Linked DNA regions of Macaca mulatta. The protein of the gene in region 1 binds, or shares a complex with, the protein of each later gene. Links are inferred from orthologs where the notes say so. Each region holds a gene or a part of one and is shown in the gene's direction. Other genes may lie near its edges.

The links. Proteins that work in one complex are often made in the same cells at the same time.
Region 2: NUP205 (region 1) and centrin-2 share a complex: the UniProt entries of both Homo sapiens proteins name them as parts of the nuclear pore complex. The link is inferred for Macaca mulatta from reciprocal best matches to the Homo sapiens genes NUP205 and CETN2.
Region 3: NUP205 (region 1) and CETN3 share a complex: the UniProt entries of both Homo sapiens proteins name them as parts of the nuclear pore complex. The link is inferred for Macaca mulatta from reciprocal best matches to the Homo sapiens genes NUP205 and CETN3.

The regions. Positions count from the first base shown.
Region 1 is NC_133408.1:175,386,778-175,390,769, forward strand, and holds the start of NUP205 (nuclear pore complex protein Nup205), read left to right. Parts: upstream 1-1,189; 5' UTR 1,190-1,206; coding exon 1,207-1,234; intron 1,235-3,992. UniProt on the Homo sapiens protein: Plays a role in the nuclear pore complex (NPC) assembly and/or maintenance. May anchor NUP62 and other nucleoporins, but not NUP153 and TPR, to the NPC.
Region 2 is NC_133426.1:159,106,001-159,110,095, reverse strand, and holds the start of centrin-2, read left to right. Parts: upstream 1-1,290; 5' UTR 1,291-1,314; coding exon 1,315-1,317; exon of another isoform or gene 1,318-1,683; intron 1,684-2,265; coding exon 2,266-2,424; intron 2,425-2,746; coding exon 2,747-2,875; intron 2,876-3,345; coding exon 3,346-3,483; intron 3,484-4,072; coding exon 4,073-4,095. UniProt on the Homo sapiens protein: Plays a fundamental role in microtubule organizing center structure and function. Required for centriole duplication and correct spindle formation. Has a role in regulating cytokinesis and genome stability via cooperation with CALM1 and CCP110.
Region 3 is NC_133411.1:96,792,231-96,796,192, reverse strand, and holds the start of CETN3 (centrin-3), read left to right. Parts: upstream 1-1,157; 5' UTR 1,158-1,276; coding exon 1,277-1,293; intron 1,294-3,119; coding exon 3,120-3,255; intron 3,256-3,962. UniProt on the Homo sapiens protein: Plays a fundamental role in microtubule-organizing center structure and function. As a component of the TREX-2 complex, involved in the export of mRNAs to the cytoplasm through the nuclear pores.

The DNA.
Region 1 (3,992 bases):
GGCTAATTTTTATATTTTTAGTAGAGACGGGGTTTCACCATGCTGCCCAGGCTGGTCTCAAACACCTGACCTTAAGTGATCCGCCCACCTTGGCCTCCCAAAGTGCTGGTATTACAGGCATGAGCCATCGCACCCAGCCAGTTCTGGATATTGTTAACATACTCTGTGCTTTTGTCTAAATTATTTGATTCTAATTTCCAACAGTGAAATGGGAATGATGGAGAGTTGATACAATGAGATTGTAAGGCACATAGAACATCGCTGACATAGCTATAATCAGATCATTTTCCCAATAGAATGGTTTGCAGGGATTAAATGAAATAATGGCTGTAAAATTCTTAATACATAGCTGTAAATAGCAATGATTATATTTTAGTTTGAAAATCAGTAAACTAAAATTTAACAACTGAGGAAAGAGAGTTCAGCTACTTTGGTTGCTCAGGTAGAAAAATACTTGGTGATTATGAAACGATATGTCTGGAATTTGTTTCAAAATAATCGGGGGCGGGGGGTGGGGAGGATAAGGTGCTGGGGTGGTAAGGGTGGGTTGGGGCTGCCGTGGTGGGAAATTGGCCACGTTATTGATGCTGCCTGTTCACTATGCTAATTTTGTATCCATTTGAAAATTTTATAGTTAAAAATTATGATTTGTTTCGCTCTACGCAACTATGTTGACACAACATACTTGGTAAATTGAAATGTCACGGAAACTTAGTTTTTAACTGGTCAATGACTTTTTGAGGTGTAGACACTTCACACCTTACTCCACTCCCCACTGTAAGGAAGATTTAACTTGAAACGGAGCTAATGATTTGAATTTACGGCTTTTATAATCTCATAAGTGGGCGTCATTTTAATAACTACTCTCAGAATATCTTTTTCTATTCCACTTTACTTTTTCCTCTCCACTTAACCAATTCATCATTAGAAAGAAACTACAAGTCCCAGGATGCACTACACGATGAACGTCCGATCGAGGACCTCGTGTCTCTGAAGTGGTTGCCCTCGCCTTATTTGAATGGGAATAATCCCAATGAAAATTGATACTTGTGACCCAGAGCAGATTCTGGAGCCTTCTGTACACCTGGGACGGCCCAGCGTGGAGGGGACAGCCTGGTGCCTTTTTGTTCAGGCTTCACTCAGGGCAGCCTCACCCCTTCCTGGGGCCTCCATGCGGCAGAAGGGCTCTGTTAGTGCGCCTCTAAGATGGCGACGCCTTTGGCGGTAAATTCGGGTAAGTGTGGCCAGACAGAAAGGAGATGATTGAGCTGAGCGATGACCAGGTCTTCAGGGAGAGACGAGACCGTGGGGTTTCTCGGAGTCTAGGACCCAACTTATGTGCGGTGCCTCCTTTTCCCTAATTCTGGGCCTAGAGTCTCACCCCTCCCCAGTTTGAATGGCGCGCGTCGGTGCTGCGGCTCTAGCCCTTGAGTTGGCGTTTGAGAGTCGAGGTAGTGAGGCTTGGGCCGCTGGACCCAGGTGTTTAATCTCTCACAGCCCAGGGCTAAGCCTGGCCCCCTTACCCCCAAGTTCCACTGTGCGTCTGTGGTCCAGATTTCGCCGGAATAGCGACAGGTCTTCAGCAGTGAAGCCAAAGGACCCGAGATATTTTCCAGCCACGAGCAGAGGCTGAAAGTAGGCGCCGGTGTTCTTAGAGGGTGGGAGATCTTGCAGGCGGCGAATACTCCCGATGATGAAGTCGGCCATCTGAAAGGTGGTCAGGAAGAGGGTGGCGGGGCTTCAGCGGACGTCTCCTAACTCTGCGGGTGTGGTTAGGCCCTGGATGTTCTTGTACCTTTGGAGCTGTAGATTTTCGGGGTGGAATTGAATCTAGAAGGTAGTAAAGGAATTCTGGAAGATTTGGGGTGGATCCTCTTTTGGTGATTCTCAGTTCGGGCGGTACCGCCCTCCAGTGGTGTCTGAATGAGTGAGTGCATTTTGATTGTCATATTTCCTGGGGTACGCTGCTGTCGCATAGTAGGCGGAGCAAGGATGCAGAAAGTCCTTCATGGGCAGAGCAGTCCGGGGAAAGAATTTGGCGCTTAGAATGTTAATGCCTCGGTTGAGATGCTCAGAACTTCGCGGGCAAGATTAAGAGTACATTTGTGTGGTAAATGCTTGTAAGAATCTCACTTAAAAGGACTCTTTCCTGGGTGCATTTTCTGTTTCTTTACAGTCACTTTTTAAAGTATTGGTTCTATTTTCCACAGGACTGATATTCTCGAAAAGTTGTCTAAATCTGCTTTGTAAATCAAATCATTTCAGAAACGCTGTGATAAATTATAATGAAAGCTATGCTTACTGAGCACATACTATATCCCAGCTTTACGCTTATTATTGTGCTTATCTCATTCAGTTGCCCTTTGGAGTAGTTGCTGTTAAATACACTATTTTACAGATTTGGAAATAGAGACTTCAAATAGTTACGTAATGTCCCCAGAGTTAAACATCTAATGATTCTAAGCCAGTCTTAGGTGCTTAAACTACTTAGTGCTACTACTTAAGCACAACCTAATTCATTTTATGATATTAGACATATATTAGAAGGTTAGTAATGAAGTTACATGCTTAATATTGCTGTCCTTCCTTCCCAATTAGATATGCTTAAAAGCAAGGGTTGCGTGTTATACGTGTGGTTATATATAATTTCTCTATTTTATTTTATTTTTTAATTTTTTGTTTTTGAGATGGGGTCTTGCTCTGCCTCCCAGGCTGGAGTGCAGTGATGCGAACCCGGCTCGCTGCAACCTCTGCCTCCCAGGTTCAAGCAATTCTCCTGCCTCAGCCTCCCGAGTAGCTGGAATTACAGGCACGCGCCACCACGCTGGGCTAATTTTTGTATTTTTAGTAGACGCAGGGTTTCTCCATGTTGTCTAGGCTGATCTCGAACTGCTGTCCTCACGCTATCCTTCTGCCTCTGCCTCCCAAAGTGGTAGGTTTACAGGTGTGAGCCAGCGCGCAGGGTATATACATTTATTTTCCTTTCTTTTTTTTCTCTTTTTGAGATGGAGTCTCACCCTGTCACCCAGGCTGGAGTGCAGTAGCATGATCTCGGCTCACTGCAGCCTCAGCCTCCCGGGTTCGAGCAATTCTCCTGCCTCAGCCTTCGAAGTAACTGGGATTACAGGCGCCTGCCACCATGCTTGGCTAGCCTGGCTTATTATTATTATTATTATTTTGAGACGGAGTCTCGCTCTGTCGCCCAGGCTGGAGTGCAGTGGCGCGATCGCCACACACTGCAAGCCCCGCCTCCCGGGTTCAAGGAATGTCCTGCCTCAGCCTCCGGAGTGGTTGGGACTACAGGCGCCCACCACCGCGCCGGGCTAATTTTTTTTTGTATTTTTAGTAGAGACGGGGTCTTACCGTGTTAGCGGTAAAACCAAGAGTTTTAAAAGCCAAGAGTCAGGAGGTGGTTTTTTTAAAAAACTAAACGTGGTAGGGAAGGAACTCTTTTTCCATCAAGTAATGAATGTCGGGTTGAGTGGGTAAAGGAAATGTGTCATATACATGCAATATACATAATGTATATGCATATACATAACGTATACATGCATATACATAATATCTTTATGCAGCCTTAAAAAGGAAGGAAATCCTGTCACATAAAACAATGTGGATGAATCTTGAGGACATACTAAGTGAAATAAGCCAGTCACAAGACACAAATACTGCATGATTCCACTTATATGAGGTATCTGAAGTAGTCAAACTCATAGAAACAGAAAGTAGAATGGTGGTTGCCAGGAGCTGGGAAAGGGGAAAATGGGGAGTTGTTTAGGGGGCATAGAGTTTCTATTTTGCAAGATGAAAAAAGCTTTGAAGATCTGTTGCACAATGTGAATATGCTTAACACTGCTGAACTGTACACTTAAAATTTGTGGAGATTGCATTCTGTGTTATGTGCTTCCTTTAAATTAGTTTTAAAAAATCAAACATCTTAGAGTTGTAAGGAAAAAATATAGAGATTGTAGAGTTCTAAGACTTATGGTTGG
Region 2 (4,095 bases), on another chromosome or scaffold:
ATGATGAGAACTCTGGCTCGTACTACTTGGGGGGATGATGATGACCCAAAAATTAGGAGTCTGTTCACTGCTGAAGAGGGCAAAGGGCAGAAGCTCCATTTAAAAGGTTCTAATAAGCCTCAGGCCTTTCTCTGCCTGAAAAACTTACTTTCTGCCCTCTACTTCCCTAGATTACTGCCCCAGTGCCTGGAGGAAAATCAGGTGAAGGCTAAAAGCCACGTAGACAGCTAAAGAGGGCAAACTGGACCTCCAGCTCCACTTCTGCAGGTCTGTCTCAGTCCACACAGCCCTTGCACACGCTCCCTTTTAATTCTCCAAGCATACCTCTCACTTCCAAAACTCCTGTGACTCTGCTGATGAGGGCGTCTCGGCCTGGAATGCTCCTCCTTATCTGCACTGTGTGGGTGTCAAAAAGAGTATATTTTGATGACCTCTCCCCGCCCCTCTTGCTTGCTCACATCCCCTTCACTCCTTTCAAAGTCCGTTCCCAAAGCCCCCAGTTCACCGTCCTGGGCTGTTTTTAGCCAGGTAAGACCTGAAGTGATCCTCTCTTGGAACCTGGTCTGGGGCCTACACATCTGGGTCAGTCTGGGGGTGCTCTCGAAGGGCCACCCTCAAAGAGCGAGCCTCGGCTGGATTCAGTTCCTAGGTCCCAGCCGTCCGACCTCTGCCACAACGCTCAGCAGACCCCTTCCCCTCTCCGGGTCTCAGTTGCCCCGTGAGTACAGTCCCTGCTCCAACACGCAAGGTCAATCGTCTCTGGCTGCTCTGATGCACTCGGTCCCTAACTCAGCCTTAGGTCAGCACAGAAAGCACCCGACCCGGGCGGCCCCGCAGCTCCTCACCCTCCCGCCCCGCCCAGTCGCTGACACAGGGTGGCCTCCAAGGGCAAGGCCACGACTCTTACCCGTCCGCAGGTGCCCCACTGGCTGGCCTCAGCTCGCAAGCAGGCTGCACCCACCGAACTCCAGCCCCGGAACGCCACCCTTTACTCCCCTCCCGCGTGAGCCGAGAATCAGCCGAGCTTCTTCTACCAAGAGGATTGGCCCAGCTCGGCGTCGGCTCAGCCAATTGGCGCTCACGGCTTGATCTTGCCCAATAAAGACAGGTCTCTGTCCCCAGCGTGCCCCTCCCCGCGCTGGGCCTGGGCTTTGCCAGGTTAGTCCCACCCTCTTCGGCCCTGCACCAGTAGGGAGCGGCGGCGGCGAGCGGACGCCCAATGGGGAGCGGGGCTGTGCGCGCGGGGCGGTGGGAGCGGCGCCGAATCAGTGTACACGTCGGTTGCCTAACAACCGGCCGTGGACTCCTTTGGCTATGGTGAGTGCTGCCGCTCTGTCGCGCCCCACGCCCAGAGGCTGAGCCCTTCCCAGGCCCCAGCTCGGCCACGCCGCCTCTCCTGCGCCTTTCTCGGCTTTGACGCACCAGTCCTTCCTTTGAGCTCTTTCCCGGAAGAGTAGGGTACAGACGCTAACCAACCTACTGGGCCTGCGCTTTGCTGCTGCCTCCCCTTCACCCACAACAGGCCCACACCCGCCCCTCGGGCTCCCCTGGCCTTCCCTGATCACCTCGGTGAACCTCCCTGGGCAAAAAAGACTCGAATCCCTCACAGGCCCCTGACTTTCTCAGACCTTGGCCCCCTGGCCGCCTCATTCTGCCAAAATTTCCACACAGAGCTGGGAGAAGGTGTATTGTGTTCTATTAAAGTGTTTTTTACAATTTAAATATAGGGGCATTCAGGGGATGCTGTAGCTTCTTGGAGAAGGCACGAAGGTGTCAGATGGATTGAGTTTTATTACTCGATACTGACACAATATACATCTTAACAACTTGCTAATATTTGGCCAAATCTAGAAGTAATTGGGAAGTCAGAGTGCTTACTGGGAAGCGGAGTACTGGGAGTGGGCATTGTAAGGCAGTTTCCAGAACCAGGATCCCCACATTCGGGAAGAGCTGATTATCTCTACTTATTCGCAGTCATTTTCTTGACTAGCTCTCTTTTGGGATGATTTTCAGTAAGAGGTATCCTTACTGAACAAGTGATCTCCCTGCTTCTAGAAACGACAGTAAAGAAAAGGGAGGGATAGAAGTTCATGGAAAGATTCATTGTTCTTGCCAGTAAACCCTGTTATCTTTCTTGTTAAGCAAAGCTTTGGAATTGGTTGCCATAAAATTATTTAAAACTACATATGGGTGTCTGTAACTATGTTATGTAAATATGGACTGTACGATATATTATTGTGCTTGTGTATTGCATAACGTATGAAGGCCTCCAACTTTAAGAAGACAAACATGGCATCAAGTTCCCAGAGAAAAAGAATGAGTCCTAAGCCTGAGCTTACTGAAGAGCAGAAGCAGGAGATCCGGGAAGCTTTTGATCTTTTCGATGCGGATGGAACTGGCACCATAGATGTTAAAGAACTTAAGGCAAGCTCTATGCATTCCTGCCGTACTGCCCTTCCTTTCCTCTGCCTCTTCCTTGTCATCTCCCTATCACCTCTCTACCCCTTTTGCCCTCTTCTCCCTGCAATAAGTAACAGGGGAGGTTGTACTGTGCTCTGTTTTCCTGTCTTTACTTAGAGTATTATTAAATAAAATTGATTGCAAATGTCAATTAGATCAATGTTATAGTGTTCCCCAATCATATTAACATGACCACATCAGATGCTGGCTTAATGCTCTCAACACTGTTGTTTTTGCTGCTGCTAGTTCAGATGTGCTTATTGAGACAATCCTGTTTTCATTATAGGTGGCAATGAGGGCCCTGGGCTTTGAACCTAAGAAAGAAGAAATTAAGAAAATGATAAGTGAAATTGACAAAGAAGGGACAGGAAAAATGAACTTTGGTGACTTTTTAACTGTGATGACCCAGAAAATGGTGAGTAGCTAAGACAATTTGCATGGTATGGCGCCCCAGTCATCTGCAGAGGCCCATGGCATCTGCCTGTTAAAACAGTCATGTGACCACAGAGCAGTCCAGGTAGCAGCTGCATCAGGAGGCCTGCCCTCCCATCATGTTACCTTGGGCTCCCAAAACAAGCCCTTGTACTTCTTTCTCAAGACTTCCAAGCAGATACCTCTTCCCACAGAATTCTAAACCAGTTAGGAAATAGATATGGGATAGGGAGAGATATAGGGATAGGGAGCAAACGTCACCTTGGATGGAGTGCCTGGCTTGACTGGTGTTTCTCTGAGGCCAAAATGGGCTTCCTGACACTTGCTGCAAGTCTAGACTCGAGTTACATTGTTAAAAAGGAAAGGGTGACCTGACCGGGCAGTGGCAGGGCTACAGGACATGAGTAACCATGGTGTCCCCCTACTCATGTGTTTCATGTTCTATTTGGTAAGTCTGAGAAAGATACCAAAGAAGAAATCCTGAAAGCTTTCAAGCTCTTTGATGATGATGAAACTGGGAAGATTTCGTTCAAAAATCTGAAACGCGTGGCCAAGGAGTTGGGTGAGAACCTGACTGATGAGGAGCTGCAGGTTTGTAATGCATCACACTGGAACTTAAGATTCCCACCTTTGGGCCCTCTGTGACTTTTCTGTTACATTTTCCCTAGTGTGAGCACTTCTTTGAAGGAAAGCCAGTGTACTTTGTCCCTCTGTGGACAACTGAATTCTCCTTTAATAGTCAGACAAACCTATGAACGCTGCTTCCAGAAAAATGCACATAGGCACAGTTTTGCCTACTATTTTACATTCCAGGAATCCCTCTAGTCAAGGTAATCTTCAAGCTCCCTCCCAGGTGATAATGTTTGACAAAGTATGAGTTGGTTTTCAAATAAGTTTTCAGGAACCAAGCTATTATCAGGAGTGGCATACTGGCATTGGGTGGACTACAATTATCTATTCACATAGTGTTATTAAAAGTCTATTGCTTGCCAGGCACAGTGGCTCATGCATGTAATCCCAGTACTTTAGGAGGCTGAGGCAGGAGGATCGCTTGGGGCCAATAATTTGAGAGTAGTGTGGGCAGCATAGAGACCCCGTCTCTAAAAAGAGTCATATTACTTAGTCACCTTTTGGCATTAGTTTATAAATTAATCTAACCTGAATCTTTACTGTCATATAGGAAATGATTGATGAAGCTGATCG
Region 3 (3,962 bases), on another chromosome or scaffold:
TTTTAGCTTGTTCTATCATACTATCTTTACTTGTGCAAATTTAGCCCATCCTTGTAGGTCTAACGTTTATGCCACCTCTTTAGGAAGCCCATCTTGTGCTCTCTCCCTTCTCTAAAATTTTATATACATCCCTTAAACATATGTTTACATATTCTCCGCCTTCAACTCCCATTCTCAGGCTATTTTATTCCCGTTTATGAGATTTGCTGTTTAGCTCAGTATTTTGTGGGTTTTCAAAAGATTCCACTCAATTTACCGAGCACCTATGCACCAGACATTTTATTAGGTACAAGGAAAAGCGTTAAATAGATATAATCATGGCCTTCAAGAAACTGAACCTGGTAAGGGAGACGAATAAGTAGACATTCAAGTGAGCTTTAGGAGACTTGGTTTGGTAGTGAATACAGTCTCACGTGTATTAACAATTTACAGCACCGTAAAATAAGAGACAGAAGCCAACAAATCCGTTTCAAACAGTTCAAAGGAGGAAAAGGAGAGGGAAGGGCGGTTTAGATACAGCATCACCATAAATAGCCTGATAATCTAACCCTGTGATAATCCAAGTATAGTCACAGCACCTGCCTCAGAATCACTTGGAAGGCTTGTGAGGAATACAAACGCAGATTCATACCTACTGAAATTAGAATGGAGAAAGGGGCATTTAAGTCTGCATTTTAAAGACATTCCCCAGGTACTGAAGCCATCCAAAGTTTTAGAACAGAGCAGAGCCACGCTTCGCAGACCTTGTTCCTCAACTACTGCCTCCTTCTAGCCGGAGGGTGGCGTGCAGCGTGTCCCTTCCCTTCCCACCGTCCAAGTTATCTATCCAGTTTTCGAACGTCGGCCCACAGACCGCAGGACAATACGCGAGAGACTAGGAGCACCCACTACGCAAACCACCACACAGGGATCGGAGGCCGGACCCGCAAAGGATTTGGGGAAAAAGGCATCAGGCCAATCCGAAGGGCGAGAGCGGCCCTAGGAATGGAGGGGCGGGGTGGGTGGCGGGGGGGGGGGGGCGGGGAGAGAGAGGTTTTTTTTTTTTCTTGATTGACGTAAAGCGTACCCAATTAAAATAAAACTGGTAAAGCTTCCGCCATAATGGGCAGAACCATAGCGACATTTCAACCAATCCAGCTCAAAAGTGTCTATGTTGTGGGAGGTCCCTGAGGCCGCTGAGGTCGTTCGTGTCTGTTGAACGGTTGTGGGAGTCTTGCTGCTTTGGGTAGGGGGTTAAAATCGTTTCTTGAGAGGAACGACTCTGTCCGAAGAGATAATGAGTTTAGCTCTGAGGTCGGTAATAAGGAGGCGGCAGTGCTCTCCACACCCCGGAGCGGGACCTAGGGAGGGTGTGTGTGGAAGGGAGGCCGTTTGGGGCCGTGGCGAGGCAGGGGATGCTGTTTGGGATGCGGGAAAGGAGCCTAGGGCAGCCTGTCTGGATCACTCACCCTCTGGGCTCTGGTGCCCTGCAGGGAACGAGACTTCCAGTGCATTTCTACTAAGGAGGTTATTTCTGTCAGCGCGTAGGGCTTTCGACTACCAAAAAAATGGGCTTAGTTGCGAGCGAGGGGGAGGGAATGAAATATCGCGAGGCTTCTACTCTGTTGCTCTGAGAGATCAGGCCGCGGAACATCCCTTCATTCAATTCGTATGCCTGGCCAGGGCCCCACCTCCGCTGCTCTGCTGCTGATGCAATCATCCACCTATAAATTTTGGAAATAACAAAAAACTCTTTGCTATTCTCCCAAGGTCCTGCTTTACGGTGTAATTAGAAACCCATTTTAGTGACTAATTGGCAAACTGTCTCTTGGATTTCCTGTTTCTTTCATTTCTTTACCTTTCAGTTCTAACCTCTAACCCTCTGTCTGTTACCCGCTCCCCCTACGTAGACGTTGTACCGTAAAACTATACATATACTTAGGACACTCTAAAAATGTTCCATGTTCTGCTAAGGGATAATCATGGTACCCTTGGATGGGGTCAGGGGTGGGTCGGTTCTGGACTTGGCCTCTAAAAGTCTCAGGAAGGAAAAGACTGACCCCAGGAATACCCAAGTTTGTGTCAAGTCAGGTCTCATGAAAGGAAGATCTTCCTCAGCTTTGTCATACTGCATCTACTGGTCACTTCCTAGCCTTTTTTTTTTTTTTTTTTTTTGTAGCGTTCAGAGACCAAAACGACTTTCAAATGCAGCTAGATACGTGTTTTAAATACAGTCAACTGGTTTTGACATGTTAATGTGTTACCAGATTGTGTGTTTCAAAACTTGTTCTTATACCAGTGTTGCGGCTCCATTGGAAAACTTGGAGCACATTTAGATGGGCAGCTCTTACGGAAAACATTTCTGGCTTTAAAGTAATTTTTGCTTTTTTCTTTAAGCGTTTCCAGAGTTTATGAGAAGTTTAACCTCCAGTTTACATCTTAAGTGAGACAAGACTTATGAAGCACAAATATTGTATACTTTTTTGACATCTAATATTTGTCATATGTTTAGACTCATTAATATTTTGGGTGATTTGTTAATATCAGTGGAGGAAATGACACATAAATTGCCAAACTGTTAGAAACGTGTAATCTAAAAACATTTTGAACCAACAGTCCCAAAATATAAGTTAATCCAGTTGTATTTTTTGTAGTAATTTTATGAACTTAATTATCAGAACTATCAAAAGTAAACCGATATATGGTGATTGTCAGTTACGAATTTTGGTTTCATTTGGAGATTTTTTGGTTTCTTTAACATTCTTGTAGAATAATGTGAGTGTTTTTGTTTTTTTTTGGTTGGAGTTGGTTGGAGTTTCAGACATAAAAGTAATGTTGCTTATTCACAGTTCTTGAATAAATAAAAAGTTAGGGAAAGTGGGAATAAATAAAAAGCTGGGAAAAGGAAAAGTTTGGTCCTCATTTCTTTTAATAATCTGTAACACTCTTTAGTTTTGGGAAGTTCATATTTATAGCAATTTAGACTATGGAATAAACAGGGCATTGACTCATAAAGGGAAAGTTTCCCTGTCTTTCTCCAAAGTACTTTCTTTTTTGAAATTTAGAAAATAATTATTGGCTAATTTCTGTTAGTAAAGAGAATTAAAGTGGACTAAGGGCTTTTTCTTTCCATTTCATAGAAGTGAGCTTGTAGTAGACAAAACAAAGAGGAAAAAAAGAAGAGAACTGTCTGAGGAACAGAAACAAGAAATTAAAGATGCTTTTGAACTATTTGATACAGACAAAGATGAAGCAATAGATTATCATGAATTAAAGGTAATGGTATACTTTAAAATACTTGTTTCTGTGTTAAAATGATTTGCATTTTGACAGTTGCTTTACATTACATTTCTAAGTAATTATTTTAACTAAATTGGTTTTGGAACTATGAAGGCATTTTAAGCATTCATAGTTAGATTCTATAATAATACTGAATAGAACTCCTAACACAGTTTTTAGAAAATCTTTTTCACGTGATAAAACGAATAGCATTTTAAATGTAACAATACATTCCTAGGGAAGGTGCTTATTTTTCACTGACATAATTAAAGGATTTCAAACTGGAATTTAAACTATTACCATATTCTTTTCACTGTTTTTTTTGTTTTTGTTTTTGTTTCTTGGTGACTCATACTGTTTTCAGATTGTGGGATTGTTGTCTTTTAATCTTATAATTTGTATTTGTTAGTAACATAGTCTCAATCCACTTTCTGTGGTACAAACAACTTCAGTGCTGTTTGATGTTGACACATGCTTGTAGGTAAAAATGTCAACTTTAAGACCTAGAATGTCAAGGTGTAGAGAGGGATTTGTAAATTATTATTTGTCAGGGTATAAGGAGAGATTTGGGTTTAGGGTAGAATGGGACTTACTTTCAGCACAGTGGGAAAGATAGTATTTTGAGATTTTTAATAGCCTTAATGGATAGGTGAATGTAAGTGTTTATTTGATAGTTTTAATTTTTGTAATTTCTTAAGGGATTT